Sus scrofa: one gene and its partners. The protein of the gene in region 2 binds, or shares a complex with, the protein of the main gene of each other region. Links are inferred from orthologs where the notes say so. Each region holds a gene or a part of one and is shown on either strand. Other genes may lie near its edges.

Evidence for each region.
Region 1: the proteins of GNAO1 (region 2) and GALR1 are in contact, whole or in part, in a cryo-EM structure (PDB 7XJJ), measured with the Homo sapiens proteins. The link is inferred for Sus scrofa from reciprocal best matches to the Homo sapiens genes GNAO1 and GALR1. Residues at the interface, in NP_066268.1 of Homo sapiens: Ser264, Asn316, Glu318, Tyr320, Asp337, Asp341, Ile343, Ile344, Ala345, Asn347, Leu348, Arg349, Gly350, Cys351, Gly352, Leu353, Tyr354; in NP_001471.2 of Homo sapiens: Thr70, Arg133, Ala136, Ile137, Ser140, Arg141, His226, Leu227, Leu231, Asn233, Ser235, Lys236, Lys237, Ser238, Ala240, Ser241, Lys244, Thr245, Thr248, Leu306, Ser307, Glu308, Asn309.
Region 3: the proteins of GNAO1 (region 2) and ADRA2A are in contact, whole or in part, in a cryo-EM structure (PDB 7W6P), measured with the Homo sapiens proteins. The link is inferred for Sus scrofa from reciprocal best matches to the Homo sapiens genes GNAO1 and ADRA2A. Residues at the interface, in NP_066268.1 of Homo sapiens: Ile28, Lys32, Lys193, Asn194, Leu195, Asp218, Phe336, Thr340, Asp341, Ile343, Ile344, Ala345, Asn347, Leu348, Gly350, Cys351, Gly352, Leu353, Tyr354; in NP_000672.3 of Homo sapiens: Arg77, Arg146, Ser149, Ile150, Ala153, Ile154, Asn157, Leu158, Arg160, Pro162, Ile234, Ala238, Arg241, Arg383, Arg386, Phe387, Val390, Leu391, Phe444, Asn445, His446.

What each region holds. Positions count from the first base shown.
Region 1 is NC_010443.5:147,447,412-147,451,059, reverse strand, and holds part of GALR1 (galanin receptor type 1), read left to right. Parts: intron 1-865; coding exon 866-1,183; 3' UTR 1,184-3,648. UniProt on the Homo sapiens protein: Receptor for the hormone galanin. The activity of this receptor is mediated by G proteins that inhibit adenylate cyclase activity.
Region 2 is NC_010448.4:29,432,244-29,435,891, reverse strand, and holds part of GNAO1 (guanine nucleotide-binding protein G(o) subunit alpha), read left to right. Parts: intron 1-513; coding exon 514-643; intron 644-3,648. UniProt on the Homo sapiens protein: Guanine nucleotide-binding proteins (G proteins) function as transducers downstream of G protein-coupled receptors (GPCRs) in numerous signaling cascades.
Region 3 is NC_010456.5:121,468,569-121,471,451, reverse strand, and holds ADRA2A (alpha-2A adrenergic receptor), read right to left. Parts: upstream 1,881-2,883; coding exon 528-1,880; downstream 1-527. UniProt on the Homo sapiens protein: Alpha-2 adrenergic receptors mediate the catecholamine-induced inhibition of adenylate cyclase through the action of G proteins.

The DNA of each region.
Region 1 (3,648 bases), on a different chromosome or scaffold from region 2:
AGCTTTTCAACATGTGCTTAACTAGTGGCAAAGAAACAGGAAAAGGTGTCCTAAGACTTAATCCCAGTCCTTTAGGTCTATAGCCCATAGAAGCTGTATGGGCGTTTGCTCAGAGCAGGTGCAGAGGGAAACGGGGTCCAGGGCACCCAGGTGCAGGGAGGAGGGAAGTGGGCTCCCACGTGCGAGGGGGAAAGTCTCCTCTCCTGCTGAGGTCCTTGCTCAGGGGAGAGCTTTTTCCATCCTCTGCTCAGCAGAAATCTCAACGGACAGGCAAGAACCCCGCCTCTGATTTCCAGGTGTTTCAGAATTAGGAGCAGCAGAGAAGGGCTTAAGTTGCAAGTGAAGAGTTGGTGGGATGGGCCCAGCGACTGTTGGAAACGGCTCTCTGGCTGCACTCACGCACCCCTGTGTTGCAGTGTCTAACTTTGTCGGTGTTCAATCTGGAGAAGTTAACATCTATCCTGGTCTGTTGAGGCAACTGTTGGGAGCAGGGCTCGTGCTCTCAGCTGAGATGCCCTGGGAAACAGCTCCACTGTGCACCTCGTGTCGGAGCTTGCTGGGTTTTAAAGTTACAGTGTTCAGTCTCTGCCTTCCTGTTCCCAGGACCCTAAAGCAGGCTTCCTGTTACCCACATGCATCTCACATACAGGACAGAATTATTCCTATGGAGTAGGAATAAGATCAGTCCTGAGGAAGTTTTGTATAAAACCCACTATATGAATTGAAGGTTGACACTGAAAGCAGGTTTAATCCTCACTCTACTCTGTGAAAATTGACGTAAACTTATCTCATAGGGTGCTGTAAAGTGCTGGGTTCCTCTTCTGTTATAATCCAGGTCTCTCCTTCCTTTTTCCTGTTCTTCTAGACGGCACAGACGGTTCTGGTGGTGGTCGTGGTTTTTGGGGTTTCCTGGCTGCCACACCACGTAATCCACCTTTGGGCTGAGTTTGGGGTCTTCCCACTGACCCCCGCCTCCTTCCTCTTCAGGATCACGGCGCACTGCCTGGCGTACAGTAACTCCTCTGTGAATCCCATCATTTACGCGTTCCTCTCGGAAAATTTCAGGAAAGCTTATAAACAAGTATTCAAGTGCCACATTGGCAAGGAATCCCCTCTTCATGACACTAAAGAAAATAAAAGTCGACTAGACACCCCACCATCAACCAATTGTACTCATGTGTGAAAAAAGACAGACTTTTCTTAATGTGGTATTTCCATACGTGGATGAGACACACACAAAAATGCATTGAGGTATTAGGCAAGGCAACAACTTAATAGCCACTCAGATTATATTAAGTAAATTCCACTTGTGTTTAAAAAGTACTTTGATCTATATGGAAATCGCTAGGTCTAGTGGAGATTATTTCTAAATTTTATTTTATTTCTAATTTCTATTCCCCACACAAAAGAGAATGATGTATTTTTATACCCCTTAAGAAGTGAAAGTTCAGGAGAATTCCAGAGATATATTCAATTCATCATAGGAATAAGGACCTATAAAGACGGTCAGGAATATATGTGACCTACATTTTGAAGCAAATTTATTTAGAAAATACGTTTATGCTTCAGTTCTTCTATTTTTAGATGAAGGGTAATGTTATAAAGTATGTGTTTTCAGATATGATTATGGACCCATGAAAGTTTTCCCTAAACTTTATTTTTGTGGCCACTTACATAGAGACACATCTAATCAATGGAAATAAATTTATTTTCACTGGTCACATTTGCTCCCAGTTGTAAATAGTGTACAGGGCTTCTGAGATGTGCCGTGTCCATCTGTGATCACGAGGTCTATTAAGTTTATCTCAGGAGGTCCACAGATGTTGCAGCTGTGATCCTGGGGTGTTAGCCATCGAGATGTCAAATAAAAACTCTCCTATGAACTTGGTTTTTGTACAGCTGAGTGAAAAAATATCTGGGAAAAGCAACATCTGCAACTATTCTAAAGTGGAAGCTGGGAATGAGTTTCTGAGAATGAAACTGGGCATTAAAATTATATAAATATATGTACTTGGCCAAGGTAATTTGCTATGCTTTGAAATAATTCTGCCCAAAAGAGAGAACTTTAAAAATGTCAGTGAAGATGATGTGTAGAAAATAATTCCCATGAATTCAGAATTCAGTAAGTCACGTGAAGAAAGTGTACTAAATGTTTGGTTCAGACATGGTTTGAAGAAAACAAGTCTTGTGAATGGAGATACCGAGGGATATGTTATCTCGGACAAACATATTTTTTTCATTAAATTGGTAAAAATGTCTAATGCTTTTACCCCAAATATAGTTCCATCTGGAAATGTTAATTTGGTGTTCAAATCATCATGACTTGAGTTTCAAGGGTAGTTTTGTGACAATTTTATATTTATTCAAGTTTACAACTAGAAAAGGGTATGAAAAGACGAAATAATTCCATATTAAAAATAGTTTTCAGACTGCAAGACTCTGATACATTTTAGGATGATACAAAAGCACACCATTTTTTAAAAAAAAAACTTTTGTGTAATATGCATCTGTGTCCAATCGGTGGTTCATGTGAAACATTTAATTTTAGATCAAAAAACCCAACTTGATGGAAGCCGTTGCATGTTTACTTCTCTCGTTCATGAATTTATTTTCACTAATTGTATTCCTCCAGCAAACAGCGTTTACATCTGCCACGGTATAAACACTTCTCTGGACAGGAGAAGAGCAAATGGTCAGAGAGGATGGGACCTCATCAGCTTTTCCGTTTGATGCCCAGGGAAAAAGTTCTGTATATGTGTGTGTATTTTAAAGAACAGCATATGTCCTTTGCATGGAAAATTGTTTGCACTTTATTCAGATACAGCTGGATATAGCAGCAGAAACGCTTTATCCCATTGGTGATACCTCATGTGCTTTTCGAAACTTGAGCTGCCACTGGCAATGCAAGACAGCCTCTGTGTGTGTGAACTTGCACAACTGCAGGAAGCTGTGCCTCCTGGTTGCCTCTGGGATTGCATGGGGGAAGGCAGTGATTTCCTGCACCAGAGCTGTTCTCGTGTTTCCCCCTTCTGATTCCTATGCACATGGAGTATTAAAGCAAATACAGTGGTGAATATTGCTATTTTCTCAGAAGTCTTTGCCCATTAAATCTTGGTTCCTCCCAGATGTTTCTGGTGGGGGCGAGACGCTGGAGGCACAGCCCTGCAGTGATGGACTTGCCGAATCCAGGTGTGCCGAGTGTAAATTCAGATCGCTTCGTTTTATAGTTAGAGAGGATATTCTTTCTGCTCAGTGTCATTTTAATCTGTTCCTTGTGTTCAGAGCTTTGATTGCCAGCCCCTGTCACAGACTTTGCTGGGGGTTGGTCTCCAAAGATGTAGAAGCCTAGTAGGTGGTGATGCTTCCTGGGTGAGGAGTTCCAGGACTTCAATGCCACAAGGATTTCATTACCAGCCAGGGGTTGAGGAGGCTATGAACTTGCCGGCCATCTGCTTCCTGGGCTCTGCATTCCTCCTGTGTCATTAACGGGACCAGTTCAGAAAGAAGCACCTTCTCTTTCTTCACTGAATAACTGAGGCCTCCCACCCCAACACCAGTCACCAGATTCGAGGAGAGACATCCGGTGCGCGTTTGAAGCCAGGCTGCTGGAAAGCCTTGTTTTTTAGTGAACTTCAAAGAAAACTGATG
Region 2 (3,648 bases):
GCAGAGGCTCTGTCTGCAGACAGACCTGAGTGTCACCCTAGTTCTACCACAGCAACTTCTGCTGGGACCCTGAGCACTTAACCAACCCTTGGTGCCTCACTGTCCCTACACATAGTAGCAGGTGACAGTCCCTACCTGCCTCCCTCCCAGGCTGGTATGGAGTTTTTCCAGACCACAAATATGAAGAGACATACTCAGAAAGCTCGGGACAGTATATGTGTCTTACCCTGAGAGGGGGACCTTGCAGAGGTGCTTCTTAGGAGCCAGCCAAGCTCACCCCTCAGTTAAAGTCTCAAGATGCAAGAGCAGGTCTTTGAGTGACTGTGTGGGGCACAGCCCAGTATCCTGGGGATGGCAGTGGTCAATCCATCAGCACCTCCCTGGAATGAGGCTCCTTGGGAGGCTCGCAGGTGTTCAGTCCCCCTTCTCCTCCCGCCTCTTAGCTTGACCAGCATCCCCATACCTGCCAGGCCCCATCGCCCACCACTTCCAGCTTCCCTGTCTCCCCTGCAGGCTGTTCGACGTCGGGGGTCAACGATCTGAACGCAAGAAGTGGATCCACTGCTTCGAGGACGTCACGGCCATCATCTTCTGCGTCGCGCTCAGCGGCTATGACCAGGTGCTCCATGAAGACGAGACCACGGTGAGTGGCCTAACTGGCCTCAGTGGCCCACGGAGGCTCTGGGGTGGGCGTCTCTGGTGACCAGGGGTTGCAACATTAGGCGGATGGTACCTGTTCCCTTTTCTGACTTCATTACCAGGCAAATGCCTAGTGATGCCTTGTAATACAGCAAAGGCAGCCACGGGCAGCCCTGCTCAGAGGCTGTGCGGACTGATCACAAACATCTCTGCAGACTCTAGGACTCCGGGCAGTAAGTGCCTCTTCAGTAAACACAGCAGAGTCACAGAGGCCGTCAGGCCAGAACCAAATTAAGCAAATTCTAAAAGAAATCAGGGTGCAGTCAAGAAGATGTAAGACAGAAATAGCTACTCCTAGCCCCGAAGGTCTTCCCTGAGCAGTGGACAGGCTGCTGCCAGGAGCTTAGCTGTGGACGGGGCTGGTAGCGGGAAGGGCAGAGGGATGTGGCACATGGGTGACAGCCAGGGCATGAGCCCCTCATCTGGGGCACACCAGCCCAGGTTCCCGCCTTCCGTCAATGCGTCTTTGCTTGGGGCTTCAGAAAACTGTCAGTCTGGCTTCAGAGGGGGCCCTCACCTGGATAGAGTGCTGCCTCACTCTGGGCCTGGGCCTGGTTTGCTGCTAAATTCAGGCCAGCCCTCTCTGTCTCAGTTACTGTTATCTGTCTGAGGGGTGTAACAATGGTACCTGCCTGGTGGGGTGTTGGCGATGGAGTGAGAATCTGTGAGAAGTACTTGGAACCGTTTCTGGCACAGCAGCACTGAGCTGGTGGTTGTGTTGTTACTGGGGATCATCCTGAGCTGGGGGGCCCACTGAGCAGCCCACATCCAGGCTGTAGCCTCAGAGCAGTGGGCCTTCCTCAGAGCAGCGGGCCTTCCACAGAGCCTGCAGGAGAAGCCAGGTGTTTGCGTGGTGCACCCGAGGGTTCTCTGGAGACAAGCACCTGCCGGGATGGAGCTCCTGGGCTGTGGGGGCATGCCCTTGGCAATGGTTAGCTCCTTCTGTCTGAAGCATGCACAGACCCCTGGCCTCAAGCCTTCTAGAACTGGAACTCAGGGCTTGGTCATGGGCCAGTCACCTCAGGCCTTAAACAAGGCCTGTCTTCTCGTTGGATGTGTCTCCGCGTCAGTTTTGCCTGCTGGTCCCATGGGGCTGTGCAAAGATCTGCTGGGCTTTGGGGTGTGGTGCTGTGGGGAGGATGAGCCGCCGTCCTGAGAGACTTATGCAGACATGAGGCTGTGGGCAGATTGGGACCAGGGCCACTGGCTGGGTGTGTGACCCGGACTCGCACCACATGCTGGCTTGTCCCCCTTGCCCTTCTCCTTCGGTCCCAGGTACACTCCCACGTTGGGCATCGACAAAGCCCCCAAGCTTTGTTCCAGGGTGAGTCTCTGGGGCCCTAGCTGTGCAATTCTTTCTGGTAACGCCATCATTCTCAGTGGCCTGAGCAGGCTCCGGCATCTAAGATCCAGACCCAGACCCACTGACCACCCTAAAGCCCAAGCCTGCTGCCCCTACAAGGCACCTGCACTTGTCCGTTGTTGACTCTGTGACTACTGTTCGTGGTCTGAGCTCCACTTGGCTCATCTTTCTCCCTGTAACACCTGGAAGTGGGCAGCTGGTGCAGTGAGCGTGAAGCTGATCCAGCCATGGGTTTCGAAGAAAGCAAAACACTGGAGGGTCGAGGGCCCCAGGCCTCTCCTTGAGGACCCACCCAGCTCAATCCCAAGTCCCAGGCCCATCAGCCTTGGGGAGGGGCTTGCACTCGCCTCTGAAACATAAGGCAAAGCAAAGGGATATTTGGTCAGGTCTGGCAGCCACGGAGCCCCAAGCTCCATGGCCATCGGGACTCCAGTGAACACAGGCAGGTGCCAGGCCTTGCACCCAGATGGCCTTCCTGATCTGCCCATTGCCAGGCCACTGCAAACTCCTCACCAGCCCTCATTCCTGAGCAGGACCCGTCTTGGGGCGCCTTCTTCCTCATCTTTCTGCCTCTACTGTCTGTCTCTCACCCTTCCCCTCACCTCCCTCCGTCGTCCTCACTTCCCTGCCCTTCACAAGGGCTGAAGCAAAGGACCTTGGGGAAACAAAGGCATGTGGGGCTACAGCCGGGAACGGGCTCTTTCTGCCCAAGAAGGAGCAGCGGGCCCTCCAGGGCACAGGAGTTGGCTTCGCAACTGAAAGAGCCCACAAAGGCACCTCATGGCCACAGCGACAACAAGAATGGCGCCGTTACTGTGTTACTGTAGAGCTGAGCAAAAGTCTTTGTGCCCAGGACCAGCGTTGGGCGACCAGGGGGCTAGGCGGCTATGGCCCTAGGTCCAGCATTGCCCCTGTCACCATGTGAGTGTGACGGCCACCCCACTGGCTCCTTCGTAAAATGGAGATGGTGGTGGAGAAGTTTCTGGCGGCTGTGAGGACCTCTAGGCTTGGAGGTGTAAGAGGGCCTGCCCTCAGGACTTCGCACTCAGTCGATGGCAGCTGTGGGGTGGCCGTGTCCAGGCGCGTGGCTAAGGGACAAGCTGTGGGACACGGACGCTCTGCCCCCAGGAGGCAAGAGCTCCTTCCTCTCTGGTCAGCCCTGCACCCTCCCTGGCCTGGGGTGAGGACTGGGGCTGCCTGAGAAAAAGGTGTCCCGAGGCGGCTCCTGGAGCTCGGCCAGGCACTTGGGGCTAGTGGCTGCCTTCCCACTGGCTGGCCACCTACATGCCACAGCCCGGACCCCAGCAGCCCTGGGCCTCACCTGCCACAACTTCTCAGCACCACTGCCGTCATCACCGCCTGCAGGGCCTTAACTTGCCATATCAAGGCCAAAACCATGAGCAGATTCTGAGACACCCTCCAAGCCGGGCAGGTATGAAGCGCCTCCTTCCAGTCAAAACCGTCAACTAAGAGTTGAAAGCAGCAGATTCCCAGGGCACCGCCGGGTGACATTGCTGTGATGCCTGCTCCCCACTCCCACGTCCCACACTCCTCACCAGCCGCTCGGCTTAGGCTGGTCTTGCCCA
Region 3 (2,883 bases), on a different chromosome or scaffold from region 2:
CCCCGCCCCCACCCCCGTACTATCAAAAATAGTGAGTATTTACAGGGTGGGGATGGGAGGGCGGCAGAGCTGCCCTGCTCGGTTTGTTTAAAAAGAGAGTTGGGGGAAGGGGAGGGCAATTTGCCAGGGCTGGGTAGCCCCTATCTATTAACCCTTTGTGAACCATGCCCTCTGGGCTCTCGTGCTTACTCTGAATTACTTTGAGAGCTGGACCCAGGGGAGGGAAAAAATACCTTTAGGAAACAACACTGATTTGGAGCTGCCCAAGAACCCAGGAAGATTGCTCTGAGTGCGAGCAGCCCTAAAAACAATTGGGTGGGGGGCGGCGTGGGGCCCTCGCAACCAGTACTTTTCTCTGGTAGGGGAGCGCAGATGCTGGCAGGACGCCGCAGAGCAACCCTCCCGACAAGAAACTCGGAATAGGCAGGACCCGGGTTTCAGAGGGCTAAGGACTACATAGACGCGCCCCTCAATCCCAGCTGCCAGCGGACGGCTTGGAGTCTGTTCGCTGGGAGCGGACTCAGCGCTCACACGATCCGTTTCCTGTCCCCACGGCAGAGGATCTTCTTGAAGGCGCGGCGGAAGTCGTGATTGAAGATGGTGTAGATAACCGGATTCAGCGAGCTGTTGCAGTAGCCGAACCAGAAGAAGAACTTGAAGAGAGTGGGCGGCACCGAGCAGCCTACGGCCGTGAGCGTATAGGTGAAGAAGAAGGGGAACCAACAGACCACGAACACGCCTATGACCACCGCCAGCACGAAAGTGAAGCGCTTCTCGCGGTTCTGCCTTCCGCGCCAGCGCGACGCCTTGGCGACCCCGCCGCGCTCCTCCCCGGCCCCAGTCGCGGGCGCCCCCGGCCCGGGCGCCCCCGGCCCGCGCCGTGGCAGGCTGTCCCCGGGCTTTACCTGGCTCGCCCGAGCCTTGCTCTTGGCCCGAGGGCCGCGCTCGGACCTGCGGGGCCCAGGGGGCCGCTCGGCGTGCTCAGACGAGGAGCTCTCCTCGAGGTCCAGCCCGTCAGCGTCGCGGGGCCCAGCGGGCGCGGGCTCCCCCGGGGCACCGTTGAGCTGGACGGGTAGCGGCTCGGCCTCGGCGCCCACGCGACCCACGCCGCGCTCGGGGCCTAGGCCATTGGGCCTGCGCTCGGCGCCCCCCGGCAGCGCGGCGGCCGCATCAGGACCCCGGCGGCTGGGCGGCACGCGGGTGCGGCGCTTGGCTATCTGATAGATGCGCACATAGACCAGGATCATGATGAGGCAGGGCGCGAAGAAGGAGCCGATGCAAGACGAGATGACGTACCACTTCTGGTCGTTGATCTCGCAGCGCGGTTCGGCCGGCTGCTGGCCACCGCCGCCTGCCTTCTTCTCGATGGAGATGAGCGGCGGGAAGGAGATGACGGCCGAGATGACCCACACGGTGACGATGATTGCTTTGATGCGGCGTGGCGTGCGCTTCAGGTTGTACTCTATGGCCTGGGTGATGGACCAGTAACGATCCAAGCTGATGGCACACAGGTGCACGATGGACGACGTGCAGAAGAGCACGTCGAGCGCCAGGTAGATCTCACACCACGCCTTGCCGAAGTACCAGTAGCCCATGACCTCGTTGGCCAGCGAGAAAGGGATGACAAGCGTGGCCACTAGGATGTCAGCCGAGGCCAGAGACACCAGGAAGAGGTTCTGGGGCGCCTTGAGCGCGCGGCTTGTGAACACGGCAATGATGACAAGCACGTTGCCGAACACGGTGAACAGCATGAGCAGGCCGGCCAGGCACACCAGCGTCAGTGTCACCTGCAGGGAGTAGGGGGTGGCCCGGGCGCCGCCCCCCGGCGCCTCTGTCCCATTCCAGCTCGCGTTGCCCGCTTCCGGCTGCAGGGAGCCCATGGGCGCGAAGCTGCCCTCGGCCAGCGGCTGCTCCTGGCGGAACATGAACGCGGGTGCCCGTTCGCCTGGGCCTGCTGCCAGCTGCCTTCCGGCCCCGCGCCTGTAGGTCCTCCTCTTCCTCCTGCGCCCCGTTCGCCCAGCCGCGCCTCACATGGGGAAGGGGCCTCAGGGAGGCCGGGCACGAGCTGCGGTACCGCTAGCGGCCCATGGACCCGGCTCCCGCTAACTGCGCCCGGCCCGCGCTTCGGGCGCTGGGGGTCTGCGCCTTCTCGCTCCCGCTCCCTAAACACAGCCAAGTTTTATTTCTAAGCGGCGGGAGAGAGTAGGTCGAGCCGTTGGGGAAAGAGAGATTTATTCTTCAAGAAGGGAGAACAAAATCATCTGTGGCCTGATGACTTGGAAGAATGACAGGAAATTATATATCTATATCTTTGACTCTTGAGCCTGAGCGAAAGCAAGAGGTCTTACCGTGTGCGGGGCCCGCCCCCACCCCGGGAGGCAGCCGAGGGGTGCTGATGCTGGCTTGGGGTCCTACGTCTGTCTCCTTACATCCCCGAAGCGATTACCGACTCTCTCGCTTCCCCCAGACACGGCGTGGCCGGCGGGGCCCGAGCTGGGGCCAGGGTGCTGACTCTGCCGCCTCTCGGAGCGCCGCGGGACTTCCAAAGTTGCGTGCCCTGCTGGGGCTGGGGAGCAGCGCGCGGAGCTCGGAGGCGGCGGCGGCGGCGGCGGGGTGAGGGGTTTAGGGGCCGCATGAAGGCGCCCCCGTCCTCAGGCGGGCCCGGGCGGGTGGGCTATTGGCCCTCCAGGAGCCGCAGCCGAGGCAGGGGGTCTCCTGGGCGTTGGCCCGGCGAGCTTCGAGCGCTGAGCTCAACCGGACAGGCTGGGGTCCGAGGGCGGCGTGAGTTGGGGCAGGAGCTCAAGGCTCGGGAGAGAAGGTGTTGGGGGTGGCCGGGCGGCTGCGCGCCTGCTGCTAGGCGTCCGCACCGTTGCCGAGGCCGCT